Linked DNA regions of Diceros bicornis minor. The protein of the gene in region 1 interacts with the protein of each later gene in a biochemical or structural test. Links are inferred from orthologs where the notes say so. Each region holds a gene or a part of one and is shown in the gene's direction. Other genes may lie near its edges.

Region 1 (7,276 bases):
GGTGAAGGCAAGAAGTAATGAGCTCGCTTCTTTTGGTACCAAAACGCAAATATTTCAAAGTGAGTAAGGGTATATGTAAAGAAATGTTATAAGCAGGAAACCACTTAAGCGGCATCTGCTTCGACCCACCTCCTCTGTTGCTCTATTCCTCTCAGTAGTGTCAGGAAGTAAAGTTAGTAAGAAAATTCAGCTGCGACGAGTCTTAGATACTAGTTTTTGTTATAAATGATACTATGGTAGAGTACTGTGCAAGCCCCAAAAGGTGCAAGGTTATTCAGGAGAATTAAGCAATTATACAGATTTAATGCTCCCTGACCGAGAATTGATTCCATAGGTTTTTCCTTGGGATGCTTTGCTGGAACAATAGCAAGGATACAACATCTGCAAGAACTATTATATCATGGTTTCCAAGAGAGAAACCAAGAGAGTAAAGAAGAGATTTGAGGTATCACATATGCTTTTATATATATATACGTATATACAAAAGACTCTTGAATGTTGTACTTCCAAATATCAGTACAGAGTCTGGTAGCTTGAATCAAAATATTCCTATCACTGGATGGTGAGCTTCTAGAATTACCCAGATAACTTCCTTTGGTTTCAAATATTCAGAGAATTGAAAGAAATTCAGATAATTGTATCCATTTGCCCTTACACTTCATACATTTTTACACTTTATACATTTCAATGTAGTTATTAGGCTCAAAACGTGAAAGTCCAAAATGTTAAACCCTACCTTTAAATTTTGTAAAGTGGGGTAAGAGGTCAAAGTTACCTCAATGAAGTAACATATTTGAAGGCTCCTAGGTATTGCCTGGTACATTAGAACATGCTACATGATTAAATTATTTTTTAGACAAATCATTAAATTTTTCTTAAAGTTATTTTATGATCGATATTATTTTTCATTAGGTAGTATTCACTCTTTCGAGGCAGATGATCTATGGTTTAATACAAGGTAATATAAAAATACTGTTTTGTTTCCAGTACCCCCGTGCTGTGGCCCAATGTCTTGTGAGGTTTTTTGGTGTTTTTTTTTTTTTTGGCCCTAGCCATCACATGGAACTGAAATCCTCAGGGAACAGTAATTCCCAAGTTTGTTTTTTGGTTAGTAACCTCTATTGCAAAGAGTATAGAGCATGGTTTCTCAAACTTTGGCACCCTTGACATTTTGGGCTGGGTAATCCCTCGTTGTGAGGGCTGTCTTGTGCATTGGAGTATGGTTAGCAGCATCCCTGGCTTCTACCCATTACCAGTAGCACCCTCTCCTCCCCATTTGTGACAACCAAAAATGTCTCCAGGAGTCAAAAATGACCCTGGTTGAGAACCATGGCCCTAATACATTATGTCACTTTTGCCTACATTAAAATTTAGCCATTTCTGCCTACTTACACTTTAGCTCTGAACCAGGCCATTCAGTAAATATTTATAAACACGGATAAAGGTAAATATTTAATATTGAGGGTATGACAAATGTAGGAAACTGAAACCACAGATTGTAAATTTAAATTATTAAGTTTGGTGGGGATCAAGGACACTGTCTAACTTGGAATTCACTGACTTCGCTTAATCTGTATACAATCTTACTTTATCTATATGGTTATTAAGTATTCATCACCACTCAGGTCACATCAATCAAGCAGGTACCAAATCCTATGTGAGGCACTATGTTACATTCTATGGGGCTGCCAAAGAGTGGAAGATGTGGTGTCTCCCCTCGAGGAACTTTTTCCATCAAGCTGTGGGAATATGTTGTAATATATTATTAGACTCTGGCCTGACATTTTGAAGTAAAATATTCAAGTGTCCTTGTTGAGGGGGAGTACCAAAGCACATCTGAATTTCTTATCATTTTATTAAAATTGAAAAATATATATATATGAAAAAGCATACGCAAACCACAAGGAACTCCATGTAAAAACTCAAGTGATCTCTATCAATAATAACACCACCAGATAGTTTATTTAATAACAGTAGGCCTAAACAAGGTCAAAAAGTTTACTAAGATCTTAAAGCAGTATTTTTAAGGAAATGTCTCAATAGTTCAGGTCTCAAAATTTAGCATTCAGTCTTCCACGTTCTTTCATAACTCTGGCCCAGAATGATGCCAGGGAAAGTGACTTCAAAGATATGCTTAATTTACTTATTTATTAAAATTACACAACTTGCTCTTAGGTGGTTGTGAAATCAAAGTAACTGGAAAGAATTTAGAAGACAAAAAAAGTGAAAGGTGTAACATATTATAAAGTTAACAATTTAAAGATTCAGCAAAAGCAGTGCCTAGGAGTTTAACCAGGCATCAATAAAACATACAGTGTACCCAGAGTGTGGCTAGCACTATACTAACCTCAGTGAAGAATTCAAAGGAAATCCCTTCATTCATTCACTCAACAAATAGCTAGTGAGGGATTATTATGTACCACACATTGTTCTAGGTTCTGAGGATACAGCAGTGAACAAAACAGACAAAAATCTTGCCCTCAGAGAGCTGACATCCTACCTGAATAATTCTTATGTAAGAAAAGCTGGATCTCTGGCCTCAAGCACCCAATAATCTTGTTGGGCAGAATAAACAAATGAAATGCACGAAATAAGAAAAAACTACAATGTGGGTGCAAGAGGAGAAGTTTGAAGGAGGGCTTGGAGCAATGAGGAAGGCTAAATCAAAATCTGCACTATGGACATTAAAGTTGCGTGGCACTGCAGGTTTCTGGTCAGGCTGGCATTGTTAAGTGTGAGCTGGGCTGGTGGAAAATAGAGACTGGGTTGAGGCCTATCACCAGGTTAGAAGTAGTGAGGGCCTGGACTTGGGGAATCGGGAATAAGGAAAATGCAATAATATCCTTTATCATCTGAATGGATAATGAAAATGTGGTGTATATACATACAATGGAATATTATTCAGCCATAAAAAAGGAAATTCTGCCATTTGTGACAGCATGGATGGACCTTGAGGGCATTATGCTAAGTGAAATAAGACCTGGGTTTGAATTCCCAGCTCTACCACTTCTTAATTGTGTGATATTTTCTTCCTGTGTAAAATGAGAGAAAAGCAATATGACCTCAGAGGGCCCTCGTAAAGATTCAATAAGATAACATACATATAGCACTTAGCAATCCCTGGGGCAAAGGAAATGGCATCCATTAATAATAACGATATTGATAACAGTAATATGCTATCTTTTGAGAAAGATTCAAAAGGAATAAGAGAAATATTTATTGAGCATCTACTAGAGCCCCAACACTGTGTTGGGTACAGACCTACAGCAACCTGCAAGGTAGGGAATTTCATCCTCATTTTAAACTGGCACTTGGATATTACATTTTAAAAACGTAATTAACCCCTTGCAGGTTCCCAAAGGTACCTTCATAATGCGATTCCCGTAATTACTATTATTATCGTTGTTACCGTTGTTATTATTAGGGTGCTCTCAAATGAGCTTGTCTCCCTCCTGGAGTGGAACTTAAAATGGAGTGGAGGCTGGGAGTTGCCGAAACCACTGCTGTGTATGCTGAGTTCAATAATATGGACTGCTAATGATCCGATCTCATTTCCCATGCCTCTATTATCCTCATTAATTTTTCTGCCGATATACCATCTGTTTTCCAATTTCCCTCTCTCTTACACGTGCAGAACTTGTGGTGAAGAGAAGCCCCAGTCTGGCCGTCCCCCACCAACTGATAGCCCCAGAGGTAGCCGTAGCCTCAGGTTTAAGTCACCTGAAGCACGTCTGGGGGCAAAGAATCCGGAAAACAGGAGAGTGGCTACGGATCCGCCCAGTGGCGCAGCCGCAGGCTGAGGAGACCGGACCGCGGGAATGAGCAGGGGTCCACTGACTCGGTGGCTCTCTGTGCCCCCACCCTCGACCAGATCAGGGAGCCAGGAAAGATTTCCAACACTCCCCAAGTTTCAGTTCAAGACGTCTCCTCCGAGGCTGCGTGTGCCCCAGCCTCGCACGCCTGCCTGCAACGTGGCCGCGTCTGGGACGCTCTCATACCCCCAGGGTCACCAAACTCTTTCATTCTCTCTCCAGGCCGAGCCGCGTTCCAGGTCCCGCAGTCCTCAGGGTCTCCTCTCCGTGTGCCGGGAGAGTGTCCCCCTTCGCAGGCTCCAGCAACTCCAGCCAAACCCCTTCACTGCGTGGAGCCTTAGCTCTCCTGACACCGCCCGGCTGCGGGGCGGGGGCAGGGCCAACGGCGGAACCGCCCCCAACCGCCTCCCGGGCCAGGCGAGCGGGCGGGTTGCTGGGGCGCCTCCACCTCCTCTTCCTAAAGCGGCGAGGCGCAGACAAGCGGCATCACTCGAGCCCAGGTCCCAGCCACCGCCACACACAGCGCCCCGCATTCAGGAGGAGGAGCAGCAGCGGCGGCGGCGGCAGCAGCGCCGGGCGGGCGCCAGAAAGGTAGACTGAGTCCCAGAGAACCGCGCCGCGAGCTGCCCACCTCCCAGTCTGGGCTACGCGCTACCAGCCCAGTAACCCCACTTCTGTGTGTCCTTCCAGGCCCCGGTCGAAAAGCCTGGGAGGGCCGCGGAGCTACCCCTGGAGGAGGAGCCAGTCCGAGCCCAAGGCGCCACCGCCGAAGAAGCAGTGTGGAGCAGCAGTCGCCTTCATGGCCCACTCGCCGGTGGCTGTCCAAGTGCCCGGGATGCAGGTGAGGAAGCCCAGGCCTCCCCCGCCGCCCACGTGACTGCCCGGGAGCCCGGTGCGCGCTCCGCGCTGGGCACCGGCGACGAGAGGCGGCCCCAGGGCTCCCCTCAAGGCAGGGCCGGGTGCTCTGGCCAGGTGTCCCAGGAAAAGGGCTCTAAGTTTTTCTTGGAGTTTAGGCTAGGTAGTGCACTGCGCGAGGAAGGCAGGGAGGGACTGGGGCGCGCAATGAGGTGGGGATGTGGGGGGGGGGGGGCTTATAAAAATAGGCCAGAGCGAGACACCTGCGCCTGCTGAGCGTGATACGGTTGGGGATTGGAGGTGGGAGGACTTAATTTTGGAGAGATGGAGGCGTCTCGGAATTTGTGGGGTAAAACGCAAGTCGTGCTGTCCTACCATACACACAAGTTGGGGCGGAGCAAGACAAGGGGGTGTCGGTGGCGGCGGCATTGAATTGGGCTCTTCCTGTGTGCGTAAAACGAAGAGCGAGGTGACTTCTTTTCCCCTTTTGGTGCTGCTTCTGAAGGGCAAAGTTGTATCTCGCTCCCCCAATGGCCCAGCCTATAGTATGGCGTGAGAAATGCAGGGTCCTAGGTCCGAGTCGCCGAGATGATGACTCCCCAGTCCCCTCCCGCTGCCTTTCCCACAAGATGACTGTTGAGTGTGCTTAAAGAAAGCTTTTTGTCCTGGACAAGGGACTACAGCATGGGACCCAACTTCTTACTCGAGATCTACCCAGCCCCCCATTATTTTTCATTTTATTAAAGAAGAAATAAGCTATGTCCATACATTTTTTATGCTATGTTTTTAAATCCGTGCATTTCAAGCTATCTACTAGATTTTATCCAAGTCTACACTACTTTTAAGCATTCACGTTTTATTTTTTTCCTTTGCTAGATAGCCTAAACAACCCATTTATGAATAGGTCAGAGGCTAGCAACACTAAAGCCTCCGTCCCTCATTATCTTCGAAAAATGTGAAAGCAAACTTTTTCCAAGTTCAGAAAAAAAATGTTTAGAGTAGTAAATAGACTGCTTATGTTTCTAGTAGAAATCAAAGTGCTGTGCATTGGGGCCTCAATTTACTAACTGATGCATGGAATTCATCCTTTTTTAGCAATTGGTCACATTTTATGCATGGTCACAAAAAAAAGTGATTTTTAAAATACCTTCCCAAACAAGGACCATTTGTGTCAGACATATATCAAACCTACGATTCCCGTGTGTACTAAGCACCAGGCCTTTTCGCTGAATGTAGGGCAAGTCTGTGTTGAGTCCCAGGAAGTCGGTGTGTATTTAATAAAGAAGAGAGGAAGAAAAGAGGAAATGAGAAATATTAGGGCTTTTTAAAAGGTTAATCCATTCAAGCTTTACGAAACGCTTCAAACTTGCTTCTAAGGCCACCCCCCATCCTTCCCTCCCTCTTTCCCTCATCCATCCTGCCCTACACTCCATTCATTCAGTCCTAACTTTGATTGTATCAAGAGAATTAGTAGTTTGCAATAATAACTACAGTTTTGCTCTGTCTGATGTGGAAGAAAGTGCGAAAAATTTCCCGCAGTGCTCTCTCTTCCATTATGTGGAGGGTAGAATGTTACAGATGTAAAGTTTGTCTCTAAGGGTCTCCATGCTTCTCTCTCCATTGTGTGCGCCCTCCTGCGTGCGTACGTGCCTGCGTCAGCAGGGTGAGTGCCTCCAGTTCATCAAGCTTGTGATTCTGGGGAACACTGTGTGCCGAGGAGAAAATGGTTTGTGGTCTTTATTCATTTCTCTTGACTTTATTTGATTTATATGGTTTCTGGTCCTTATTTGATTTGTCTTTATTTGATTGGTTTAGGAATTGCTTGCTGTTCAGTATTTCTTTTTGCCCCCTGCTTTGTTTAATTATCTGAGTTCACTATCTCTTGAATTTTTAAATCTTAATTAAGGTGGCTTAGAATGTGAATCACATATTTTAAATTACAAATTCTGCCTTTCAGTTTATGCCTTCCCAAAGTTGTGAATACTTTGTCCAACCTAATTTGGGGAGGGCTATCATTCAATATTAGCAAAGAAGAGAGGAATATTTATTTGTCACTTTCTCTGTCTTAATGAAATGGTAAATTCTTAACTTCTTATTTCCATTTTCTTTGTGGATGTGGTTCTTAAGCATTTTGTGCAACACAAAAGTTTTCCACAGTTAAAATTGTACAGTATCCTAAAAATAAATTTGATGGCATGCAGTGTGACTCCTGAGCCCAGACTACTTTTACTATTCTTTTGTTCAAAAATATTGCAGATGAGATGCAGAAATATACCATGAGCTTGTAAAGTTCTCCTACAGTTTTGTTAAAGAGTTAGGAGCAACTTTTAGACCTTTTGAGTAGTAAGAAAACTTGAGTTAGCCATGTGTTCCTGAAATTAATGTATAGTATTTCCACAAATCAGGGTGAAGTGGTCGACCGGCCTATAACTTTTTAACAGTTTATTTTAGAGAATTATGAAGATTGATGGAAAAAATGATTTTTCCAGAAATAAAAACAAAATTACTTTATTCACAGTGTTTTTCTCCCCCTGAGGAGAGACGTGAAGTACAAGCTGAGCTACCTGTTCTATCACTTAAGACTTCCAGCATTCCTGACTTTCGAACAA
Region 2 (7,594 bases), on another chromosome or scaffold:
GTGGCATCTGCGTTGCCCAGGAGACGTCAGATACGGGGTGGGGTAAGCAAGGAAGCCATGAGTCAGGCTCCAAAGTCCTTTCATAGATGGTGTGATTAAGGCAGGGAGGTGCCTTCACTGAGGGCCCAGCTTCATCGGAGGAGAGGAAAGGAAATGAAAGTGAGGGAAGAGTTACAGGATTGACAGGATCAACACTGACTCCAGGATAATAACGACCCTGCCTTATGAACCTGAGCTCTGCAGACACTGCACAGGAGAGTGAGGGGCCTCTGGAGAGGGTTTCAAGATGAAGAGGTGGTGGAATTTCCCAGAAAGAGGTTGTACCTACAAAGAAATATATTAATAGAAAGGGCTTTCCAGAGAGCTCAGTGGAAGGATTGAGAAGGTGTCTTCCCAGTGTAAATTCAAGCGGGCAAATGACATGGCTCCTTCCACTTTGGCTTCGGAATTTGTTACAAATCCCTCTCCAGAAATTGGCTGCCACAATTCTCAACTGTAGTGGGCTTATCCCAGTGAAGAGATTAACCTGGAATCCTGCTCTGACCCTTAAAGCAAAGGACTCAAACTCCTGCATATAGGATTATCCACTTCCACGCGTTCTTTTATTCTGTGAGAAATTAGGTCCTGACTTGTTTTTGTGGAATATCAGCCCAATAAAGGCCTCCCCTTGGGACTACAATTAAAAAAAAAAAAAAAGCCGTGGGAGTGAAGTCTTATTGAACAAAGTTTCAAATTAGATAAAACTTGCAGTCGGCTCACTGGAGAGGGTGGTGCACCTCCCTCCCTTCCACAGTTTCTAGAGAGAAGCGAAGAGAAGCTCCACGAACCAGCCTGCTAGGGATTTTTCAGCTGATTTCCCTCCGAGCCGAAACAGTCCCTAGACAGCTATGTTTTTCTAATGGCTTCTGCCTGAGATAAATTGTCCTTGATTGGGATGGACTTCACTTTTAACACGCTGTTATTTTACTTCTATTTCATACTTTTTATTTAGGTTTTTCATATATATTCTCTAGCAAGATTAGTCTAGCTTTCTTTTTGTGTGTGTTGTATTTATTGAGGCTTTGGTATCATGGCCGTAACAAGAATAAGAATTATCAGCATCCCATCCGACTCCCAACTTGTTAGAAATGCAGAATCATGGGCCCTCCCCTGAACCAATGGAATCGACATCTGCATTTCAACAAGACCCCTGGTAACGCATATGGACATTACCGTTTGAGAAGACGCCCCAGATCTTGTCATTACTGTACACTGCTCCTTCCGTAATCTCAGTGTAAGCAACCCGGCTCTCAGCTAGCACCTCCTCCTTTCCAGCTCATTCTCCCTACGGTGCTGATTCTAACAATCCTTTCACACACGTTTCATTCCATTGATCCTATCACTTTTACAGGGTGTCTCCCCTCCTACTGCCCCCATACTCATCTGCATTTTCTCACTCCCTCCTTACTGGCTTGGACTCAACAGTTGGTCATTATTATTATTACTTCCTGTATATAACCCTCGCCTTCCTTTCCCCTTTCTCTCTCCATGGAGTTATCTAGCAGAAATAACCCTGGTTGCATCCAACTCCCCACCTTCCTGTGCCTGCACCTTCCCAGCAAAACGTGGCCAACAGAAAAACACAGAATAACCCCTCTGACTGGTCCTTCTTCACATCTCCTCTCCCCTCAAACTTCTGACACCTCCCCACCCTCCACACGAGGAGCTGATGACCTTGCTTTCTATTTCCCTGAGAAAACAGAAGCCTTCAGAAGGGAACATCCACATGTGCCAGCGCCTTGTCCAGCTGGCTGCCTGCCTCTGTGCCTACACTCTGCCTGCCCTCTATTACTGTGAGTGGACGCCGCCTTGCTGGTATCCAAGGCCAGCCCTTCCGCTGTGCGCGGCAACCTTTTCTTGCTCACTCAAGGACAGCTCCCCAGAAAATGCCCCCCCACCTGCATCATCAAATTTTCTCTCACTACTGAATCATTCCCATCAGCACTTAAGCCGGCTGTAATAGCTCCCATCCTAAAAGCAAAACAAAACGAAATAAAACAAAAAAATCAGCTTTGACCCCACATTCCCCTCCAGCTACCATCCCATTTCTGTGCTCCCCTGTAGAGCAAAACTTCAAGAAAAAGTTGTCTACACTCGTGGTGTCTCTTTCTAGAGCCCCATCCTTTCTAGAGATCTTTCTAGGTCTCATTCTTTCTAGAGATCACTCCAATCAGGCTTTCCTACCCATCCCTGCTGAAATAGCTTTTCCCCACACCACTGGTTACCTCTGTGGTGCTGACACCAACATCAACCTTCCTTGCATTACAGCCGCAATCGTGGCACTGATCCATGCTCCATCCCTGGTCGCCCAGCACACGATGCTCTCCTGGGTCTCCTTCTGCCACCCTCTGCTCAGAATCCTTCGCTGGTTCCTTGTCATCTCCCTGACCTCTCAGTGTCGGGGGCCTCGGCCTCGTCCTTGGCCTTGCCCTGTATTAACACTCTTTCTCTTAAATGATCTCATTGAGTCCTGAGATTTTACCTATTCTGAAGCCTCTCGAAATTCTCTCTTCAGCCTGGACCTCCCCTTCAAACCCCAGACTTCTAGATCCAGCTTCTTACTTGGGTGTCTAACAGGCAGCTCAAACTTGATATGCCCCCAAATAAATTCCCCAGTTCCTCCCTTCACATCTGTTTCTGTTTGTCTTCCCCACTTCACCAAATTGTATCTTCCAGTTGCTAGGGCAAAAAACCCAAAAACAAAAAAAAACTTAGAAATCAGCAAAATCCTGTCAGCTCTACCTTTGAAATGTGTCTAGCACCTGACCGCTTCTTTACACCTCCACGACTACCACCCTAGACCAAACCTGTCTTCTCTTGACAGGATTGTTTCAAAAGCCTTCAAACTGGTCTCCCAGCTGAAACCCTCAGGCCCTTCAGGCTGGTCTTCACACCAGGAGCAGCGTGATCCTTTTGAAATGTCAGACCACATCCTTTCTCTGCTCAAAACCCTCCAAATAGCTTCCCATCTCGTTCAGAGTAAAAACCAAAGTCTTCACTTTCGTCTATACGCTACCCACACCCCTCACCCCATCTCTACCGGCTCCCCTCACTCAGTGCTCTCGCCTTGATGCGCTCCACTGCGCCCCTCAAGCTTCCACAGCACATTCCCACCTCAAAAGCTTGGTCCTTGCTGTTCCCTCTGCCTTTCCACGCACGCAGCTCTCAGCATGCTCTTTCTTGTTGTAGCTGCTCCCTGTGGGAGGACTATAAATAGATACCCTGCACTCTCTCCCCTCCTTAGCCTGTGTTGTTTTTCTCCATCGCACTTAAGACCATCCAGTATCATAATGTGTATTGGTTTGTTTAGTTGGTTGTCTCAGGAGCAGGGACAGTTTCGTTCACTGCCCCACCACCTAGAATAGTGCCTGGCACACAGTGGATACTGAAAATACCTGTTCAATTACCAATTAAAAACAAAGAAACAAAAATATACATGTATGGCATTTTTATGTACCAGTCTCTTGTCAGAGCCTTGCAATGCATTATCTCCTTCATTCTCATAAGCCTATGGTGCTCTATTATTATTACACTTGCGTGTGTGTGAAGGAACCCGGGCACAGGGACATGAAATAGGCCATGGATACTAAATGATGGAGCTGGGATTTATTTATTTTTTTAAATAACATATGTTTTATTTCTTCAGCTGTTATTTTTGTGAGTGTGTGAGGAAGATCAGCCCTGAGCTAACATCCATGTCTATCCTCCTCTTTTTTGCTGAGGAAGACCGACTCTGAGCTAACATCTATTACCAATCCTTCTCCTTTTTTTCCGTTTTCCTCCCCAAAGCCCCAGTAGATAGTTGTATGTCATAGTTGCACATCCTTCTAGTTGCTGTGTGTGGGATGCGGCCTCAGCATGGCCAGACAAGCGGTGCGGTGCGACCGTGCGCGCCCGGGATCCGAACCAGGGCCGCCAGTAGCGGAGCGCGCTCACTTAACCGCTAAGCCACGGGCCGGCCCCTGGAGCTGGGACTTAAATCCAGGCTGTTGAGTCCTATTAATCTGGATCATTCCATCACTTTCCACGCAGGAGAGGATGCTACAGAGGATGCTCAAGTGAGAGTTAAGTCCATCGAAAGTACGAAACAGTCGTCTACACCAAGTCAGCTCCTGGCCTTTAGCAGAAATAAAGCTTTGTTAAGAGTTGAGGAAGTGGTCGTAGAAAGCGGGCGAGGGATTCCGCCAGGACGAGTGCTTAGACAGACGAGAAAGGGCTGAGCACCGACATTTAAGAGGCAGATGACAGAAGAGGAACTCTCGCCCTGGCTTCTGCTTTTCTCTGCGTCCGCTCTCGCTTGGGCCTGGGCGCGGACTCCGGCGCTGAGTCCGCCCGGCCGCCCGGGGGCGCCCGAGGCCGAGGGGGGCGTTGCGGCGCCGCCCGACGTCGCGCCCTCGGCGGCTGCGCAGTGCGCACGTCAAAGCCGGGCTCGGGCCGCGAGCGGGGAGCGGCGCGGCCTGGGGGAGACCGAGCGTCCAGGAGCCGGGGAAGGCGAGGGGGCTAAGGCGGCGCCGGGCCCCGCAGCAGCAGGCGCAGCCGCAGCCCGAGCGCGCGAGCGCGAGCAGCAGTGCGGCGGCCCTCGCGGGAGCCCCTGGGCCGCCGTCCGCCCGCGCAGCCGCCGCCGCCGCCGCGGGAGCCCGTCGCCCGGAGCAGGAGCGGGCGGAAGACGACGGAGGGGCCGAGCGCCCGAGCCGCGCCGCGGGGACCGAGCGCGCAGCCCGAGGCGGCGGCGGCCGAGGACGGGGACGGCGACGACGCGGAGGCGGAGAGGGAGCCGCCCGGCCGAGCCCCGTGAGTGACCCCGGCCCTGCTCGCGGCGCGGACGCTGCCCGGCTTCCGCCTGCCCTGCCCTGCCCGGCCCGTCACCGGCCCCGGGGTGCCTCCATTTTCTCGGGCCTGCCCTGCCCGGCGGCCCGGGCCCCTCCGCAGCCTCCCCTGCCCTCGCCGGCGCGGCGCCCGGGGGCCTGCGGCCGGGGCTCCGCGCGGCGCGGGGGCGTCCCCGGCCGGCTTCGGGAGGGCAGGGACGTGCGGGCCGGGCCAGCTGTCACTCCTACCGCACCCAGGCCCGGCCGCCCCGCTCCCGGCCCCGGGGCAACTTCCTGTTCCCGGGAGGCAGATCGCATCTCTGTGATCCTCGTTTCGGGAAAATGCCTAACCGATTTCCGGTCGGGAACGGCGCGGCCGGAGCGTCCCCGAGTTCGGTTGAGCCACCTCGAGCGCCGACTGCGTGCTGGCGCCCCGGTCGGTCCGCGCCCGAGGGATTCAAAGGTGAAGCGGGGCCCGCGGTCCCCTCCCCCGAGGAGCTACCGCTCTGGTGTGGGAGATAAGAGGAGTAGCACACAAATAATACGATACCAGGAAGGAGGTGATAAGTCCCGTGAAAGAACTGCAAGGTGCTAGGAAGGCACCCAGGGAAGACACGACCCATCGATCACTTCCGCCCAGCAGAAATCTGGAAGGCTTCCTGGGCGAGGCGGTGCCAAGCAGGGTCTTGAAGGCCCCATGGGATTTGGGAGAGGAGGGTTGCAGAAGAGACGATGTGTGGAGGGGCAGCAAAGCTAGAGGACAAAGGTAAAAAGACGTAGTCTAGCAATAGTGAATAATTCAGTTTGTTGCCTAGGGCCGTGGTGGGGGAGTGGGGATGGGCTAAAGAGGTATTTGGGGGCCAGATCCTTGAATGCTGTAGAGGAGCTGTTTGAGTGCCATTCTGAGGGAAACTTAGAGCTCGTTTCTGAGTGACTCATGAGTCCGGAAATGTAAGCTAGGGGATGTTAAAGGCGCTCTTGTGAAAGAAAAGAGAGGAGCCCAGGAAGGAGTTGACGTTCTGTGCCTTGAATATAATGCACTTTGAGATCGATTTTGACAGCTTCCCGGATATTCAAATAAATCCATGTCCAGACTAAGCAAAGTACCTTTTGCAAAAAGCTTCATTAGATGTTAGGCTCTTAAGAGTTAATGGAAAGATGTGAATAAAATAAGCTCGTGTGCGCATGAGGCGTTTCTGTTGGTGCAGTTCACTAAAATGCACCAAAACTTCTTGCGCTGTGTATTAGGTGTCTACACTTCAGGATTACTGAGCTGAACATAACTTCTTTGAGATGGCCTTTGTGTAAACCAATCTAAATTGATGATTTTAAGAAATCAGATTGTTACTAATCTGAGATTGAAAATTGGACATAGAACCCTTTTATAGAAAGGTAAAAATTTCTTGGAGTTTTTAGTTATGAAAATATTTATAGGAGAGCCAGAAGTGAGTCTTTAGCTTTATTTTGTACATTTTTTCTAATTAGTAGCAAATAATTAGCAGCTGTATTTGAAGTCTAGGGTATATGATTTATGGGAGCAGCTTAGAACGTTTGTTGGTTTCCTTTTCAGTCTTTTTTTTCTTTACATGATGAAATAAACTGCATATGTGTAAAAAACTTTTATTAAGCTTTTCTTTTTTGGTCATTAAATGTCTTCATATAAAAATATTTTTACTCAAGTAAGGGAAGTCTTAAATGTATTATTTTTTTTGGACAAGGTTGCATTATTTACCTCAGATAAAATGCAGTAGTCATGCTTAATAACTGCTACTGTGGACAGAACTTGTTATAAAGGCTTCTTGTTTGAAGTGTATTTATTAACTTCTTTGTAAGATTTGAGTCCTATTGCTTGTTGACTAGAGAAAGGTTTTATTACTAGGGGTGCGTGCTGTCATCAGGTATGGGAGAGATCTCACATCTCTGCTATATGAGTGGATGTACTTTTAAAAAGGCATTATAAAAAGATTACTTTCATAGCTGGTATAATCTCCCATACAGTAATGCACCTCACTTTCCCTTTTCACCCCCCCCCCCGAAAAAAATAGTCTTTATGCTAGGGCCATCCACTTTTTGATCATGACATCACAAAGATTCAGGCTAGATGTATTTAGTTTTTCTATTGGTATTTCTTTAGTAAAATATAGAATTTATCATGAAATAATTTGCTGCTATAACAAAAGGGGCTTTTATGTTTTTTGATTCAAAGCAGTTCACTAGCATTTCATTATTAGTTCATTAGCATTTCAGATTGCAGGTTTTTGTTTAAACCAGTTTTTTCCCTGGTGCTTTACATTTTAAAATGTATTAATGAGGTCTCTGTTTCTCTTTCTAATGGCGTATAAAGTGAGAAGCTGAGTTAGACTGTATAAATTTTCATAAAGTTAATATAAAAGAATAGCTAAGAAAGTCCAGTTTAAGTATGGGGTTTGGTTTTATAATTTGGTTTTATTTAAATCTTTATTTGTATATTGCAAGTATGTATACCACAAAGCATCGTTTATTACTTTTGAATATTTACTAAAGTGTTTTCTTTTGATCAACTTTTGTAGGTTATAGATTTCTATCATCACTGCCTTTTTTCCAGGAGGGATTGATCACTGATCATTCACAGTTTTGCCATCTGTCATAAAAATACAGACATACATCCGGATCGTGCCCCCCCCCCCCGCCTCCACCCCCCCAACACCATGCAAAAATAAAATCCAATATAGGGCCGAATTTCATTTCAGGTAGTGTCTTCTGGTTACTTT

The links. The genes of interacting proteins can lie anywhere in the genome.
Region 2: the proteins of STK26 (region 1) and CAB39 are reported together in a solved structure, tested with the Homo sapiens proteins (2 studies listed by IntAct, with this or other methods). The link is inferred for Diceros bicornis minor from reciprocal best matches to the Homo sapiens genes STK26 and CAB39.

What each region holds. Positions count from the first base shown.
Region 1 is NC_080781.1:120,366,648-120,373,923, forward strand, and holds the start of STK26 (serine/threonine-protein kinase 26), read left to right. Parts: upstream 1-4,264; 5' UTR 4,265-4,403; intron 4,404-4,502; 5' UTR 4,503-4,611; coding exon 4,612-4,653; intron 4,654-7,276. UniProt on the Homo sapiens protein: Serine/threonine-protein kinase that acts as a mediator of cell growth. Modulates apoptosis. In association with STK24 negatively regulates Golgi reorientation in polarized cell migration upon RHO activation.
Region 2 is NC_080776.1:19,251,029-19,258,622, forward strand, and holds the start of CAB39 (calcium-binding protein 39), read left to right. Parts: upstream 1-4,580; 5' UTR 4,581-4,830; intron 4,831-7,594. UniProt on the Homo sapiens protein: Component of a complex that binds and activates STK11/LKB1. In the complex, required to stabilize the interaction between CAB39/MO25 (CAB39/MO25alpha or CAB39L/MO25beta) and STK11/LKB1.